Oryzias latipes: one gene and its partners. The protein of the gene in region 4 purifies or fractionates together with the protein of the main gene of each other region. This does not show direct contact. Links are inferred from orthologs where the notes say so. Each region holds a gene or a part of one and is shown on either strand. Other genes may lie near its edges.

Region 1 (4,886 bases), on a different chromosome or scaffold from region 4:
TCCCTGTTGTTGAAAGGGATGCACTTTCTTTAGGAATTCATCTGTCAATGTAAATGCTTGGATTCTAGTCTAATCTTTACTGAGGAGGTTTTTCATTGCAGTCAATTGTTCTTATAGACAGCAGTTTGAAAAAAAAACGTCTGGACTCCGGTATCTGAGGTTATCTCTTAACCTTTGTACAAATATCATAATACAGGTGTATACAATATCTTTTTTTTTTTTAGCTTTTACTTTTAGGTGTATTCTTAGACTGCACGAATTATTAAAGAAGTTCTGTCTGGGTTGTTTTTTTTCCCTGCAAATTCCAGTATTTATTCCAATGTTTAATTATTTAGGTAAACATATTTATTTATTTACTTATTTATTTGTTTGTTTATTCTTATCTATTTATTTGGTGCTTTTAGCAAACAGGAATTTAGGTTTAATTTGGGACAAGATACATTAAAGGTATACCTTGTCTAAGCTCTCCATGACAAATAAAATATTTTCCCAAAACGTCTTAATTGCTGGAAAAAAGAACTATTTTGTATAATTTTACTTGTTAATACTTGCCAATCTGTACTGTACTGAATTATGTCTTGTAATGTTTCCTTATTTTCATGTTTATATTATTAGCAGTCTTGTCATTCTTTATCTTGTTTAATGACCGTTTATGTAGCTTAGCATGACAGAACAGTTGCTCATCAGTAAATAAGACCATTTGCTTGTGTATTTGTTAATTTATTTCATTTTCTACTAATAGCCATCAATCATGCAGCTGAGGTCCAACTAGTCCATTTGTTTAGTCTGTTTAAATGTTGGTTTAAAATTGTATTGTTTAAAAACTGGGTTTCAAAGGGGAGGATGTACAATAAAAACTACAAAATGTGAGCCTCTTATCCAATACGGGTCATGTCCCAGTCATTGTTCATTCGTTCAAATACCTCACCAATTTGTTGCAAGGGCAGGGTCCTTTCTGAGTCCCTATATTGTGTCAATTAGAAGTAATATTTAAATATGTTCTACTGAAAGCAGAAGTCAGTTACAGAATAAAATGTATAAAATAGAACAGTTAATAAATATAAGTCTAATAAAGTGGGAAACCACAATTGGTCAAAGCATAAACGTCCATTGATAAAGAATTTGTGGCCCATTGTTTTGTGAATGAAATTTTGATTGTAAAGGTAATTGTCTTATTTCTATAAAGTTTTTGTGTGCTATGGTGAAGTATCATAATTTATTAAAATTGTTGTAAAAAAAAAAAAAAAAAAAAGTTAACCAAACTCTAGTTTCCTGAATGCAAGACTGGTACTTTGCTGCCATGTATGTATTATATTTTGTGTGTAAATATTTTAAAACGCAATTTAAATATAAAATGTAAAGTTTTTAAGTTCTTACTTTGTCCCATCACTTTTGAATACGTTTTTTTTAACAGTTTGTCACAGAAACTTACTAGTCATTTATTTAGTTATTTGTTGTTGTTTTTTTAACTTCTCTTCCTATTATGTACAGGTAGCTTTTAAGGGTCTAATAAATAATATAAAATAAATTAAGAATAGAAAAATATTTTTAAAACAATATTTTAAGAACTACAAATAAAAGAAGAGTTATAGTAAAGTCATTTTCGGAATACTAGAAAAAAACCTGTGTTTTTATTTTGTGGCCTGAAATGTAACTCCTTATTCGAATAAATATGTATTTAGTTGCGACCTACTACACATTTTTTAAGAGAAGGTAATTAAAGCAACCAAGTAAACTCATAAAGACCGAACATTCATTTTTAGAAAGAAGCCCGTATGTTATTTTCTCATCTCTTAAGGAAAGGGGATACTTACCCATAATCCCATGCGGAAATCGTGACGTATTTATTCTGCGACAAACCACCCGGATCGTGAGCTTTATGTTGTAAACAGGAGCAAGAAGCCGCACAAGTAGCATTACCTATATTGGCTTCTATTAGAACCCTTCCTGTCTAAAGTGACTTTTAAAAAAATATAAATATATTTTTGTTTTGTTTTACTTCATTTTGAAAGTGCGACGTAAGTTACTATTTTTCAGTGTTGAATGACGTTTGGTGAACGTTTGCTAACTTTAGCTAGCTAACACAGAATAGCAGACTGATATCAGTTTTTGTTTTTTTCAACGGGATGTTTATAAAAAATAACACTGATAGACTTTCGTTAGATCTACTTCCTTTTGAAAATAATTGCAATAAACACAAATTTAACAACTGCCCACACTTTTACTCTCGTTTAAGCTGAAAGATGCATTGTTAGAAGATGGATCATGAATTTTACTCTGATTGCAGATGTCATTGGCTGACGAGCTTCTGGCTGACCTGGAGGAAGCTGGAGATGAGGGGGAAGATGGGCTGTACCCAGAGGGGGAGGAAGGAGGGAGTGATGGAGAGGGGGCTTCAGGGAGGACAGAAAGACTGGAAGATATCCCCGAAGAGATGGAGGTGGACTACAGTAAAACTGACAGCATTACGTCTATCGCCAAGCTCCGCAATAGCAAACAGGTCTTTGTTTAGCTGACTCTCATAAAGAGTTCCTTTTTTTCACTACCTGAAGGCAGTCCCTTTTAACTGCTTGTTTTCAGTTTTCAGATATAATTGAAAAAATATCTGGATATATTGGAAAACAGCGCAAGAATTCAGATGGTGAGTGTTGAAAAAATGTGCATTTTAACAGAAAATGTTACTGATTTACTTCCATTTCTTTTTCTCCTGTTTACCTGTATTTTCTTTCAGTTTCAGGACCAGTTGAGGCTGACCCAGAATACAGGCTGATTGTTGCAGCCAACAATCTTACAGTTGAAATTGACAATGAGCTTAGTGAGTTGGACTTTTATTGTGCGACAAAACCTAATGAAGAAATTGGATTCTTTCAACTGAAAGTGTGAGGTCTGTGTTTCTCCTGTCTTTTCAGACATCATTCACAAGTTTACAAGGGACAAATACTCCAAGAGATTTCCAGAGCTTGAGTCTTTGGTTCCAGATTCTTTAGATTACATTCGCACAGTCAAGGTTTGTTGATCTTAAAAGATAAGTTTGGAGACGTTGAAGTTACCGGATATCAAATTTTTGATTTTGTTTTTCTTCTATTAAAAGAAAAGATTTGCTGAATGGTTTCCATTATTCTGCATAGGTTTGTTTTTTTCTTTTTGCATCTAACCTCTAAATCTTCCCCCTTTTTTTGTTGTAAATGTGTGCTTCGTATAAAGGAATTGGGAAACAACCTGGAGAAATGTAAAAACAATGAAACCCTGCAGCAAATTCTAACCAATGCCACCATTATGGTCGTCAGTGTCACTGCATCAACTACACAGGGGTAAGTTTAAGAATGTTGGTACTTGTGTCCTATTACAATAAACTTTTTTTTTTAACATTTCCATTATTATGTCTGTTGTTTATTTTATTTACATAGACACTCCCTTTATATATTTTATTGTTTTCCTCTTAAGGTCATTGCTAACGGAAGATGAGCTGAAGCAGCTTGAGGAGGCTTGTGACATGGCTCTGGAGCTCAACCAGTCAAAACACAGGATATATGAATATGTAGAGTCCAGAATGTCCTTTATAGCTCCAAACCTGTCAATCATTGTGGGAGCATCGACTGCAGCAAAGATCATGGGTGAGGAAGTGAAACTATCTAGAAAATATCAAGTTTTTTTATGCCCATACATTTTTTTTTCTTACTTTTGAATTTTTTTCCCTGTTTGGCTGAAGGCATTGCTGGAGGCCTAACAAACCTCTCAAAGATGCCAGCCTGCAACTTGATGCTGCTGGGAGCCCAAAGGAAAACTCTGTCAGGCTTCAGTAGCACATCGCTGCTTCCTCACACGGGCTACATCTACCACTGTGATGTTGTGCAGTCATTGCCTCCTGTCAGTACACCATATTCAAGAATAACAAGTACCTTTTCCACATCTAATGTTTGTTTGCCTTAGTTATCTCCTTTCCCCTTTTGTTCTCCCCCCTCAGGACCTTAGGAGGAAGGCAGCTCGTCTGGTGGCCGCGAAATGCACTCTGGCTTCTCGAGTAGACAGTTTCCACGAGAGTCCAGATGGAAAGGTAAACATCTCAAATTAAAGGAACATTCAGAAATATAATTTCTGTCTCTGTTATTCAACTCCCTTTGTAATGCAGGTTGGCTATGACCTAAAAGAAGAAATAGAGAGAAAGTTTGATAAATGGCAGGAACCTCCACCAGTGAAGCAGGTCAAACCACTGCCAGCCCCGCTGGACGGACAGAGAAAGAAGAGAGGAGGAAGGAGGTCAGTCACTTATGGTTATTAGTATTTGATAGAATTGCCTGTAAATTCATCAAAACCTCTGTTTGTATTATAAATATAGTCAATGGCTTCAAAACTATTTAAGGAATTTTATAATTCTCAAAAACTGCTCTTTTGCCAGAGTTCTTTTAAAAATATGCTGCAATGTAATTGTTGTTTTAAACATCTTTGATATAGAAATACTTTTGTCTAACAAAGAACTAACTAAATGGAGAAATACAATTATTTGGACAGCCCTACTCAGTTCATTTTTGTCCAATTAGTTTACTTTGAAGTATTTTGTAATATCTTAAACTGCAGTACAATCAATTAATCTGCATAATTGTGACAAATGTTGAATTTATCACAGATGTAATGTTTTAGTGAAAGAGATATTGAATGTGTTTATTAGTCAATGCTTTGGTTTGAGCTGCCCTTTATGTTTGTTCTGTAGGTATCGAAAAATGAAAGAGCGCCTGGGGCTGACTGAGATCAGGAAACATGCCAACAGAATGACCTTTGCAGAGGTTTGTGGATTGTCTTAAAGCAGCTTGATATTTACTTTTCTTAGTATGTTCTATATTTTACCTTATCATTTGGTAATCTATTATTTAGCAGCCACAGGTTGTAGT
Region 2 (4,588 bases), on a different chromosome or scaffold from region 4:
GGCGGAGCAACACAGCCAAATATAAATTATTTTATTTCCAAATGGCATTAAAAAACAAAAAAGTTACAGCTATTGGAAAATGGCAGAGTCTCATCTGCAGGCTTCACTTTAGGCCAAACTCTATAGGAATGAAACAAAAGACAAAGATCCTAAACCGCCTCAGAAGTAAAGAAAATGTCCATAAACCCACAGACCTGCAGTTGGCCCATCGCCAACATCAGGAATGCACTCAATTCTCCATCGACCGGCGCAGTGTGTGGAGGCGGTTCACAGCGGTCTTCTTCAAACTGAACTATAAAGAACCCATGACTTAAAGCCCCCCTCCCCGAACCCGCAGCCCCGGTCACTGCTTCTGCTGCATGGCTTCCTTCCGAGCGGCGTCCTGAAGCAGCTGAGTGTCCACCTCGTCTGCCGGCAGCTGAACGTACCGGACCACCGAGCCGCGGATGAAACAGTTTTTCACAGACAGCTGGAGAGCGTGAAACACGTGAGACACGGAGTCAGGCAGGGCGCCTTCCAGAGGAAGAGAATGAACACATCCAAGGGGATTCAGAAGCTAACACTTCTCTTTTTCCCACCACTCTCACGGGTCAAATAACCACATTTACACTCACCTGCCACTTTATTAGGCACACCTGTCCATCTGCTCGTTATCACAAATTTCCAACCAGCCAATCACATGACAGCAAATCAATGCATTTAGACATGGTCAAGATGATCTGCTGCTGTTCAACCCGAGCATCAGAATGAGGAAAAAAGGTGATTTAAGTGATTTTGAACGCAGCAAAGCTGAAATCATCTATTAATAATGAGTTCTCTGGACTCGATGGTCTCCACAGTCACCAGATCTCAACCCAATAGATCACCTTTGGGATGTGGTGGAACGGGAGATTGGCATCATGGATGTGCAGCCGACAAATCTGCAGCAACCGTGTGATGCTGTCATGTCAATATGGACCAAACTCTCTGAGAAATGTTTCCAGAACTTTGTTGAATCTCTGCCACCAAGGATTAAGGCAGTTCTGAAGGCAAAATGGGGTCCAACCCAGTACTAGCAAGGTGCGCCTAATAAAGTGGGCAGTGAGTGTAGAACTTCTGCATATTTTTAAATGTTTTTCTGAAAAATTGTAGTTTAGAAACTCTGAAAAATGTTTCTAAATCTTTGCTGTTTACCTGAAGAACTGCTGTCTGCTCTGCCCTACACTGAAACTGAACTTCCAAAGGTGTGCTTCTACATTTCTCACCCAGCAGACAACTTTAAAAATGTTTGTTATACTGACAGAAGGAAATAAAAGAATAAAAACAACTGTATGTTTTAGAGGCCTCTATGCAAACTTTAGACTAAAAAGTAAACCATAGATGAGGACTTGCCATGTGTGGATACTTCTCTGGGTCTGTCACACTGATGTCGGTCAACTTGATGTTCAGGTACTAGATGATGACAAGAACAACATTTTTAAATTGCAAACCAATACATTGATTAATTAAAAAAAGTAAAGAATTAATTATTTTCTAACCTGATCAACAGAATGAAGCGTCCCACAGATACTGGGGGGAAAAAGAGAAAATGAAGCTTTCAATGCAACAGTGAACTTTTGATGTTAAATGACTTTCTGGGAATATGCAAATTTGTATTGAACAAGTCAAAGTTTTTGTTCAGTAAATTTATTTCTATTGTCAATGCTGCAGGAAAGTCTGTTTTTTCTTATATCCCACTCTTATCTTTTTAAAGCGCTCCTAGTGGTCTTTAAATGTGCTGTTTTTAGCCAAAAATAAAAAAAAAACCTGCGTCGTTTTCTAGGACAGTTTCTGCAGAGCAGCAGTTGTTCACTAGAAATTTGTCTGAGATCGTTGGTGCAGAGCAAGCCTGCCCCATCTTCCCATCATCCTTTGCTAACTTACAACCCCCCCCCCTTAACCCAACATTAGGTGTGCAACAAAAAAGAAAAAAAAAGTAATATTGGAGCAATCCAGCCGTACAGTTATTTGTGCCAGCTCAGACCAGGAAAACAAAGACGGACAAATCTATTTGCCTGCAAGTGGATGCATCAGAATGGAGCAGAGCAGGGAGCTTATGGCATCAAAACCACTTTTTTCATTTGGATGGGTTTTTAAAAAAAGTACCACATGTCTAAGTATCGTCCATCTGTGAGAGGAGCTAAGAATTATGAGTTACGTCTTTAAAGAATGCCCAACAACTAACTGTAAGCTAATTTTAATATTTACTTTTGAGCTTTCATCATGAGATGCAGCTAGTTTGATTGACCCCCCACCCCCACCCCCGCAATTGACCCTACTTCTTCGGGAAAAAGGTCTAAAATGAATTTGCAGCACGTTTGCAGACCAAGAGTTAGCTCAGAAAACTAACAGGAAAAAAAGTACATTTTTCACGCTGCTGGCACCAACCTATTGAGCCAGATTTGCAACAAATGCTGGAAGGAAGGGATGGCAACCCCACGCCACTGTGACCAGCATGAGATGCAAAACACCAGCTAGAAGGAAAGACAGCAACTCTGACAGAGTCAATGTCTCTGTCAATGCTAAGTAGCTCTTCACTGCACCCATTCAAACAGCGCTAGCAGAACCACGCGCCATTTTTAACCACAAACGGCGCTTTGAAAAGAAACATTACCAAACAAATTGGTATGTTGAGTTATCAAAACCAACCTGAGGTCGTTTTTCAGCTCCACCACCACGTCCTTCCCAACCAAAGACTTGAAAAACGAGTAGAAAAGCTGTAGATTTTTTTTAAAAAAAAGACGATGTTAGCACGATGATGGGCCGACAAAGCGGCTCAGCACACTGCGAGCAAACTCAGCGACAAAACAAAAGAAATTCAGAAGAATTCTGACACTCAGAAACCTAAAATGTTTGACTTAAACTAAAAAAGTACATTTTAAAATGACGATTTACGCCTTACCATTTTGGCTGTGGTGTTCTACAGAAGGTTTGGCTGCTGTTGATGACGTATCAGCCTGCGCCGTGTTTCAGCGGTGAGTGAGTACCACTTTGCGCCACTAGAGGGAGACACACTGTCGTTCAATGTTTATTAAGGAACTATCAGGTGTTTTTCATTGACCGAGATTTAAATTTAGGCTTTCACTCATATTTCTTTAAAAAAAAAAGACATAAAAAACATTATGAGCCATCTCTTAAAAAATTGAATAAAATATCAAAAGTCTAATTCAGATTTAGTCTAGCTTCTAGTCTAGCTACCAGACATGTTTGTGATACTTTTTGTACCTCAAAACTTTATTTTTTTGTAGTATGCAGACCTTTACTGTGATTTAAAAACACACACAAACACAAACCTGAAATGTCTATAATTTGCTGCAAGAGTTTTTAATCAGGATTAAGTTTGTTCCTCAATGTTCTTTTATAAATTACGACGGAGTTTTAGGGCCACCAAAAAAAAACAAAAAAAAAACGTAGGGTCGTAATAAAAACATAGAACCTAAACTATATTAATAACGATATTAATCTTTGTAAAGAAATTGTGTTTTTCTATACTGGTCAAAGGAAAGCATGCTTTTCATGCTTTAATGCTGAAAGTTTTCTGTATGAAAACTGGATATATTTATTGTTTACGTCTTCTAATTTAAAGAACCTTTGGTCTCCAGTGCCATTTGGAGTTTTATTCTGTTTCTTCTCCAATGTCTTTCTGATTTTATCTACAGTTTGATGCAATAAAAATCAGAAAATGAACACAATTGTGACCGTTTTGTTTCAAGAGTTCTTTCTGTATTCTGATGAAAGACCACACGGGGGCAGTGTCGAGCACTCAGATGTTTTAACAAATCTTTTCAGCTTCTTTACTCATCATGGTTTACGAACTTGATCTGAAACAGAAAACTCTATAGCAACGAATCACAACTGAATGTACACAGTTTTATCTTTAAAATAATTATTAATTCAAAAGTTCTTTTGTTTTGTTTTTGAGAAAGTTAAGACGTTGCTCCTGGGTCTTCTGTTGTTGACACGGGTAAATTCCACTAAATGTGCTTAAACTGTGGAGTGGACGGTGTCTCAGTGGACTCTAGTTCAGGATAAAAAACAAACAGGTGAGATAACTCTGGACCATTTACTCCTTTTATGAATTTTCCTATGTTTTGGAAATTCTTTTATTACAAGATACATACTTGATAGAGTGAGTCTTTCTGCAACTGTTAACTTAATTCATTTTCATCAAATATAGGGCTGCACAGTGACGTAGTGGTCCACTAACTTTACTCAACAGTTGCTCAGTTAAAGGATTCAGTGGGTTCTGAGGATGGATAGGTAGATAAGTGGATCATTAAAAGCAAAAACAGAGTTTCTCTATAGACTATCATGTAAAACTAACCCTATTCTAAAAAGACTTTACAGAATGAATAAATGTTGTCACTTGACCCTTGAAGTCACAACGAAACTGTTAATATCATCCGAGCACACACAGGAAACACATCGGAATCACAAAAAAATATAGTTATTATTATTCTTACTTTCTCTTCTGTAAACCACCTCAAATTTGGCGGCTGAACATGCAGGAAAAATGACCAAAAAGGCACAAAAACACCAGGACAGGTGAGCTCCTTTCATTTTTAAAAAG
Region 3 (4,627 bases), on a different chromosome or scaffold from region 4:
AGTTAAAGGACATACCTGAGTTCATCATGACTCCCTGGGCAATTAGTTCTCAGTCTTTCATGGAGGTACCATCATTTTTGTCCAGCCCTATTTCATTAGGTTTTTTTTTTTAATAATTCTGTCAATCAACAACTCAGAAGTAATGGCTGATTTTGATTATTTAATTTTCAATTAATTTGAATTTATAATTTTATTGTTACTTTTGAACGTTTAAAGTCATTTCAGTGAGCCTTGTGGACTTTCTTTCTTTAACTGAGGGATACCAACAGTTTTGTCCACCACTATTTTAAAGGTTCATTGGGACAATTATTTTAATGTATTACATTTTTCTAGTAAGTGTAAATAGCTTTGCAGAGCATTTTTACAAAAGAAATTGCAATTTGTTAGCACTGACATGGATTATTATACAGAGAAGAGCCACTGTGTGGTAGCCTCAGGCTCACCACTGCTCATTCAGGCTCGCTCTACTACAAATGCACTCAGTTGACCCACATCACGCAAACCAATAGACACCCAGGGGCGGATCTGGAGTGGAGTGGGAAGGAAAGCACTTGATAAGCCAAAGATTTTTTTTTTTGGGGGGGGGGGGCTTTTTTTTGTAAGTTGACCGAGTATCTAAGTGCAGTGCTTGAGTAATGTTTAACTTAAGACTGAACTTAAGGGTTATGCGTAGCCTAAGCAGAAAATTGTGATTTACCATTCAAAGAAACTTTTCACTTCATGAACAAAAAGATGATGCCACTACATTTTGGAACTGCAATTAAATTTGCCCATGTCTTAAAATGCAAAAATCTCCTATATTGTGGTATTACAGTTTTCTCTTACGTTTGGTTAGATTTTGTTAGCAGTGGTTTAAAAAATGTTTGTGTTTATCTGTGGTAACACAACTACATTTTACTAGGACAGAAATTAAAATGCAAATACTTGCATTGCTCATTTGTATAAATAATAGTTATAATTTTCATAACACACATGCAGAAGAACACTCACAATGCATAATAAACATTGTTTTTATCACTGAAATTACTATTGTAAAATATATTATAAAATGTGCAGTATAAAGTACCTTAAAAAGGTATTCTGCTTACTAAATGCAAGCTACTTATTGAATAGGCTAACGTTTCTCAAGTTTAATTGAAACAAAAAAAGAATATAAAAAAAAAGAAACAAAAAAAAGAATATCAAAAAAAAGAAAGAATATCATGCAATCTGATTGTTTAAGTTTCACTTTGGACTATTTCCTATAAAATATGCCTTATTTAATCAAAAAATGTATGGAAGAAAATATTTGCACATAATTTAACTTTGGCCAGCTAGGCAAATACATTTTCAATCCCTTAACAAGACTTTACAGACAAAACAATTCCTTTGTGTTGTCAGCTGTCAGGTGAATTTCCTTGACTTGCTGAATTTTTGCTAATATTTAATGAACACTTTTAAATATATTATAGAAGCGGTTTTGACTTTTATTTTTTAAAGTGCCTTTATGAAAGCGCATAAACAACTGCAAGAGAAATGACATAGATGGCGAAAATCAAACAAAGCACGGTAAAAAGACTGAGAAGGATAAGTCGAGAAGAAGAATTTACGTCATTTCCTCTTCCGGGTCTCGTGGAAGAAACGTTACATGTACGGAGCGGCTAATCAGAAAGTTTGAAAGAAATGTTCAGGCTTTAGAGATTTGTACCCTTGAAATTAGATTCTTTTTGTGGGTAATTTAGAGTATATCTAAAGTAAAGAGGATTGTAGACAAAACTGAGAGGTTTGTATCCACCTTTAAGCCGCTATTAGCAGATTTCGGTAGCTCCCAAATGTAGCAATATGCTAACGTGTGCTAGCAGCGGTCGATGAGTTTTGGCGCAAGTAGCTAGTAGAGTTTAGCTTGTTTGCTATTTTGGTTAGTCTGGTTATTGATATGTTTTGATATGAAGCAACATTTTGTTAACTTAACTTTCATTTTTTATGACAAAAGGCAAACTTGTCCTCAAATGTGTTCGACATTTTTGACACGCAGGAGGGTCTCTCTGTGTCATGGCTTGTGATTAATAATGCCACTTGTGTAGCTCTCACTCATCAACTTTGTCAACAATAGGACTCCTGTTCCAACAAGAACTAAAAAAGACATCTGCGTGCTGTGTTTTGAAGGGCAGAAGGATGTCTCTTCCCAAGCGGGAGGTGGAGGAGTTGAGACCGTGGGTGGAGCGCACTGTGAAGAAGGTGTTGGGGTTTTCAGAGCCCACGGTGGTCACTGCAGCTTTACACTGTGTGGGGAAAGGATTGGACAAAAGGAAGACCACGGGTAAATTCCATGCTCATTTGCATGAAGAAAGAAGTTTTCAATCATTAGTAATTAATTCTGTTGTGGTTATTTTCATTTTTTTGTTCTGTTTTATTCCATCTTTGATGACACAGTTACTTGTGCATTTCTGAATTTAAGCGTCTCTTATTCATCTTGTTTTGAGGTTGCACATTAAGATAGTCTTATAATATAAAGCAAAAACAAACTCGTAAAAAATTTTAAGAGATTCTTTTGTTTGTCAAATGTTTGGTGCTTTTAGCTTTCCCGTAAACATTTGCTTATGATTACAGTCACTAATGGTCTTAGTCTAATAGTGTTTTTCAACCGTTGTGCCGTGTGATATTACCCATTTTCACTGATCTAAAAACATTTACCAAATCTAGGATATCAGCTCTGTGTTCATCCAAACAGGCCCCAAGAAAGCACTAAGTAGTTGGGAATATGAAAGATCGTAAAATACTTTTTTCTTTGTGTTTATTTGATTCTATTAAAGACATTTTGATAAGGCTGCACGTTGGCACAGTGGTTAGCACTCTTGCCTCACAGCAAGAAGGCCCCCAGTTCAAGTCCCAGCTGGGGGAACCAGAACATCAATGGGGGACCTATCTGTGTGGAGTTTGCATGTTCTCCCCGTACATGCGTGGGTTCTCTCCGGGGCCTCCGGCTTCCTCCCACAGCGACCTCCCACCTGTCCGTTCATACAACTCTAAATTGTCCCTAGGTGTGACTGTGAGAGTGCATGGGTGTGTGACCTGCGACAGACTGGCAACCTGTCCAGGGTGTCCCCTGCCTTCGCCCACAAGTGATGGGCTCCGGCAGCCCGTGATCCCGAAAGGGACAAAACGGAAGAAGATCATGAATGAACGAATGGCGGTACCGCGAGTTAGCCGCAGCTTCAGCTCTGTTTTTGGAAAAGTCCCACCCCTTTAACCCCTCCACCAATCATTCTTGGAGGTTTAATCCTGCGTCAACAGTCTGACCTCTCAGAAGTGGTTAAAGTCATCACTTCCTTGTTCTGATTTAGCTTTTTCCACTACATTTCCCATGATGCATTGGGTTAACGTGACAGCGTCTCAGCGGACGAGTCTTCCCTGTTAAACGTCTTGAAACCACAACAAACACACATCAGTTTTTAAATCTTCTTTATTAAATCAAAGGTCAACAGTTTAGTTTTCTTCAAGGTTTGTGTTTTTTTAATAACATCCAAACATCCCAGAGTTTGGTCCAAGTCATCTTTATTAATGAAACATTTTTCTTATAAGGTCTGTAAGAAATAGGATAATGTTGAAGTGGCCGAGAGACACAATCAAACAGAATTGAAACAATTTAATAATCTAAAAAGAAATAAAACATTTCTGTTAAAGTTTTCAAAGAATTAATCTTTGATTAAGACAAGAGAAAAACTAATAAAACTTCAACATGTTCACTTTTGATGTAGCTACAGAAAACATAAATATGTTAGTTTTGGTGTGTAAAACTTAACAATCATATTGTGATCATATAACTGTTCAAAAATTACAGTTGCCTTTGCACCAACATTGAAAAAAAATTGTAAAAAGTATATTATTTAGAAAGAATGTATTTGTTTTTTTGTGAGGTTACATGAAATTGCATGTTAATAAACTGGAGGGGAAAAAACATCTACCAGGGTAAATTTTCAATTAATTTATTTGAAAGTTATTACGGAAAACTAACTTAACTTTTATTACATCTTTTAGAAAAAACTGCTGCAACTTCCAGCTTTTTTGCCACAATTATCACAAAAATGTCTGTGATTGCGGAGGGACTGTAAATCAATACAGACTATAGAGTTTCTCCTTTTTTTTATTTTTGGATGCTTGTGTGCCGCAGGAATTTTGTCAAGGATAAAGTGTGCCTTGGCTCAAAAGAGGTTGAAAAACACTGGTCTTATATTAAGAAATGATTATCAACGAACTGTTGAATACATTGTTAATCATTTGACTCTTAATTGTCCTCAGACCAGTTGCGTCCCTTCCTCGAAGACTCAGCTGGTGGATTTGTTGAACGTCTTTTTGAAGCTCTTGAGGAAAGTAGAAGCAGCCGTGGCAGCAAAGGATCTGGAGAAAAGAACCGGAAGAGAGAACTTAAGGTAAATTAATGAATAAAAATTAATGATTTAGGCCTGCACAATATATTGCAAATTTATCGTTATTGCGACATCAAGCTGTGCAAATTGCATATCGCAAAGGACTGCAAAAATTGCAATAAATTGTAACCTTAAATGTTATGGTAGCTTGAAGTATTTAATGAATCAAATAAATCCATTTATGCATTTGACCAATCAGATGGAGGTCTTTATGTTGTTGA
Region 4 (2,990 bases):
TCCACTCATGAGCGGGCTGTTAGGAACTGCCCCTGGACCATGAGTCTGTGGAAGAGCTACCTGCTGGCTTTAGAGAGGCATGGAGCAGACCATCACACTGTGTCAGGTACCAGTTTGATTACCTGTGACATTTACCACATGTGTGATGACTAACTTTTAATTCCTTATTAAAATGGTTTTAAACAGTGGAGGAGAAAAAAGTTGTTAAAGAAAATGTTTTTTTCCTTGAAATTTTCATTTAGGGAGAAAAATCGAATGAATTAATTCGAATTTTTTGTTACGGGTGATTTAAAAAATAACTAAATTGAGTTTTTTTGCAACGGTGCATTTTTGGCTCCCCGGAGCTTCTGTAGCGTTAATTCACACGGCAGTATGACAAGCGACAAACAACAACATCATAGCACCACGAAACAGCAAGCGGCAACATGGCTACCGGTGAGAGTGGGAAGTTTGTTCCCAAGAAAGGAATAAAATCATCTGTTGTTTGGAACTGGTATGGGTTTGCTGCCACAGACGTGGAGGAAGAGACCCCCCCCCATGCTGCAACACTTGCCTAAAGCCCATCGCAGTCAAAGGCAGCAGCACCACAATCCTATTCCAACACCTGGAACAGAGACATCCAGCGGAATATGAAAAAGGCCAGTCTCTCTGAGGCGAACAAAACCGCGGTGACCAAAAAAACAGCTAACTGTAGCCGAAAATCGGAAATCAAATCAAATCTGAGATTTTATTTTTAGGCCTTATAGCCCAGCCCTAGTCAAAATAAAAGAATATTTGGTTACTTGCTAAAGTTAACAAATAGTAATTTTTTTTCTATTATTTCTATATACATATTAGAAAAAAAGCTGTAAATGTTTAATTCTTTACAAAGATGCTGAGTTATTAAAGTTGAGGAAGCACGTGTGTGTTAATGGGGACAGTTAGTTTATTTGTGTGTTTGAGTTTCATTTTCTTCTTTTGTCTTTTGTTCAGATGTTTTTGAGAAAGCACTGAATGCAGGCTTCATTCAAGCAACAGACTATGTGGAAATCTGGCAGGTGTACCTGGACTACCTGAGGAGGCGCGTGGATTTCAGTAAAGGTGAGAGCTGCTGTGTTCGTCACATTTGGTAAAATAAGAAATTGGAATCATTTAAACTCTTTCTTTAGAATCAAGCAAAGAATTGGAGGAGTTACGAGAGGCCTTCTCTAGATGCTTAGACTACATGAAACAAGATGTTGAAGAAAGTAAGTAAATCTATTGTTTATTTACTTTATTTTGTCAGTTGAAGTTCTCATTTAGCTTTTTTCATCACTAACTTATATTTCGGTGTAAATTCAGGATTTGGGGAAAGTGGAGACCCTTCCTGTGTCGTCATGCAGATTTGGGCAAGGATAGAGGTAACTGGTGCTACTGCTTAAACCAGATTCAAGTGTGAAATCTTAAATTATATTATATTGGTGGTAAAAATAAAATAGGACTCAAGTCTTAACCAAGAGAATTCTATAAAACAATTTAAGATAAATTAAGTGAAAGCTGAGAATTTGGTTGTTGAAAAATGAAGCAGGAAGTTTTGATTGGAATATTTGAACAGTATCTTTCAAATTTTGGGATTTTAATTTGGCATTAAATTCTTTTTCTGTTCCTCACCAGGCCCTCCACTGCAAGAACATGCAAAAAGCCCGAGAGCTGTGGGATAACATCATGACTAAGGGGAACTCCAAATATGCCAACATGTGGTTGGAATACTACAATCTTGAAAGGTTTGTTTGGTAATCCCCCAAATCCAGAGAGAAAAACACTTTGCAGCAGTGACAAGAAGCTTTCTCTGAAAACCATAGATCTTATGGGGACTCTGTTCACTGCCGGAAAGCTCTCCACAGAGCAGTTCAGTGCACCACCGACTATCCGGAACACGTCTGTGACGTCCTGCTCACCTTTGAAAGGGTAGAAGGTGAGTCTCATGGTAACACAATTTTACACCTCCAATCTCATGTCAGCATTATATAATCAACTCTGTTGCTTTATTAAGTTAAATACAGTTAGTGGTATATGAGATGAACTATCTAACAGATAAACTAAAGATCTCATAGCTGTTAGAGATTGAGTTATTAATTATATAAAGGTTCCATCCAGGTTCATTGGAGGACTGGGACACAGCGGTGCAGAAAACTGAGTCCAGGATGAACCGGATTAATGAGCAACGAGCCAAGGTAGGAAGGTGTTGATGTGTGTTGGACAGGATGGTAGCATCGCATGGAGCTAATGTTAGCATATCCGGATCATAACCTCCAAAAATCAGGCTGCTGAGAAAGAAGCCAACCAGGCTCGCCAAGAGGAGGAACGAGTTGAGCAGCGTCGGAAGGTCAAGGCAGAAAAGAAGGGTCTGAAAAAGGATCAGAGGGGAGCTGGTGAGAAGAGAAAAGCAGAACAAGAGGATCAGGATGAATGGAACAAAGACTCGGGTAAAGGTTATTTTAAGGAAAAATAACTTAATGTTTTGACAATGTTGTCACAAAGTTTCTCTTTTCCATGATGTTGTAAGGGCCTAAAAGGCGCAGAGGGAATGTAGACGGCACTACAGACGAGTACATGGAGACGGAGACCGGGCTCTTTGGAAGGAACGCTCCCAGAACTAAACCTTCAGCCGGCCTGAAGAAAGTCCCGCCTGGACACGGGGACGCTGCGGAGAAGCAGATCGACGACAAGTCTGAGCTCCGAGACGACTGCTGCAGCGTGTTCATCAGTAACCTGGCATTCACGCTGCAGGAGCCAGAGGCAACGCTCAAAGCGCTGTTTGAGAGCTGCGGTTCCATCGCCCAGGTTCGCCCCATCTTCGGCCACAGAGGAGTCTTCAGAGGATACTGCTACGTACAGTTTGAATCTCCAGCATCCGTTACTGAAGCTTTGAAGCTGGACAGACGGGAGGTGGAGGGGAGGCCCATGTTTGTTTCACCGTGTGTAGATAAAAACAAAAATCCAGACTTTAAGGTTTGTAAAAACACACATCA

The links. Proteins that work in one complex are often made in the same cells at the same time.
Region 1: the proteins of sart3 (region 4) and prpf31 purify together in Homo sapiens (affinity purification with mass spectrometry; 6 studies listed by BioGRID and IntAct, counting the BioPlex papers as one, with this or other methods). This does not show direct contact. The link is inferred for Oryzias latipes from reciprocal best matches to the Homo sapiens genes SART3 and PRPF31.
Region 2: the proteins of sart3 (region 4) and lsm2 purify together in Homo sapiens (affinity purification with mass spectrometry; 3 studies listed by BioGRID and IntAct, counting the BioPlex papers as one, with this or other methods). This does not show direct contact. The link is inferred for Oryzias latipes from reciprocal best matches to the Homo sapiens genes SART3 and LSM2.
Region 3: the proteins of sart3 (region 4) and prpf3 purify together in Homo sapiens (affinity purification with mass spectrometry; 5 studies listed by BioGRID and IntAct, counting the BioPlex papers as one, with this or other methods). This does not show direct contact. The link is inferred for Oryzias latipes from reciprocal best matches to the Homo sapiens genes SART3 and PRPF3.

What each region holds. Positions count from the first base shown.
Region 1 is NC_019874.2:19,364,043-19,368,928, reverse strand, and holds the start of prpf31 (U4/U6 small nuclear ribonucleoprotein Prp31), read left to right. Parts: upstream 1-1,845; 5' UTR 1,846-2,018; intron 2,019-2,287; coding exon 2,288-2,500; intron 2,501-2,580; coding exon 2,581-2,641; intron 2,642-2,731; coding exon 2,732-2,815; intron 2,816-2,909; coding exon 2,910-3,007; intron 3,008-3,204; coding exon 3,205-3,311; intron 3,312-3,444; coding exon 3,445-3,614; intron 3,615-3,709; coding exon 3,710-3,867; intron 3,868-3,964; coding exon 3,965-4,054; intron 4,055-4,129; coding exon 4,130-4,257; intron 4,258-4,708; coding exon 4,709-4,781; intron 4,782-4,886. UniProt on the Homo sapiens protein: Involved in pre-mRNA splicing as component of the spliceosome. Required for the assembly of the U4/U5/U6 tri-snRNP complex, one of the building blocks of the spliceosome.
Region 2 is NC_019862.2:27,136,447-27,141,034, reverse strand, and holds lsm2 (U6 snRNA-associated Sm-like protein LSm2), read right to left. Parts: upstream 3,042-4,588; 5' UTR 2,924-3,041; coding exon 2,921-2,923; intron 2,736-2,920; coding exon 2,668-2,735; intron 1,549-2,667; coding exon 1,518-1,548; intron 1,432-1,517; coding exon 1,372-1,431; intron 470-1,371; coding exon 344-469; 3' UTR 15-343; downstream 1-14. UniProt on the Homo sapiens protein: Plays a role in pre-mRNA splicing as component of the U4/U6-U5 tri-snRNP complex that is involved in spliceosome assembly, and as component of the precatalytic spliceosome (spliceosome B complex).
Region 3 is NC_019874.2:18,946,552-18,951,178, forward strand, and holds the start of prpf3 (U4/U6 small nuclear ribonucleoprotein Prp3), read left to right. Parts: upstream 1-1,586; 5' UTR 1,587-1,762; intron 1,763-2,145; 5' UTR 2,146-2,154; coding exon 2,155-2,299; intron 2,300-4,278; coding exon 4,279-4,409; intron 4,410-4,627. UniProt on the Homo sapiens protein: Plays a role in pre-mRNA splicing as component of the U4/U6-U5 tri-snRNP complex that is involved in spliceosome assembly, and as component of the precatalytic spliceosome (spliceosome B complex).
Region 4 is NC_019867.2:12,882,983-12,885,972, reverse strand, and holds part of sart3 (squamous cell carcinoma antigen recognized by T-cells 3), read left to right. Parts: coding exon 1-106; intron 107-972; coding exon 973-1,080; intron 1,081-1,148; coding exon 1,149-1,226; intron 1,227-1,320; coding exon 1,321-1,379; intron 1,380-1,632; coding exon 1,633-1,742; intron 1,743-1,820; coding exon 1,821-1,933; intron 1,934-2,115; coding exon 2,116-2,192; intron 2,193-2,281; coding exon 2,282-2,444; intron 2,445-2,524; coding exon 2,525-2,970; intron 2,971-2,990. UniProt on the Homo sapiens protein: U6 snRNP-binding protein that functions as a recycling factor of the splicing machinery. Promotes the initial reassembly of U4 and U6 snRNPs following their ejection from the spliceosome during its maturation.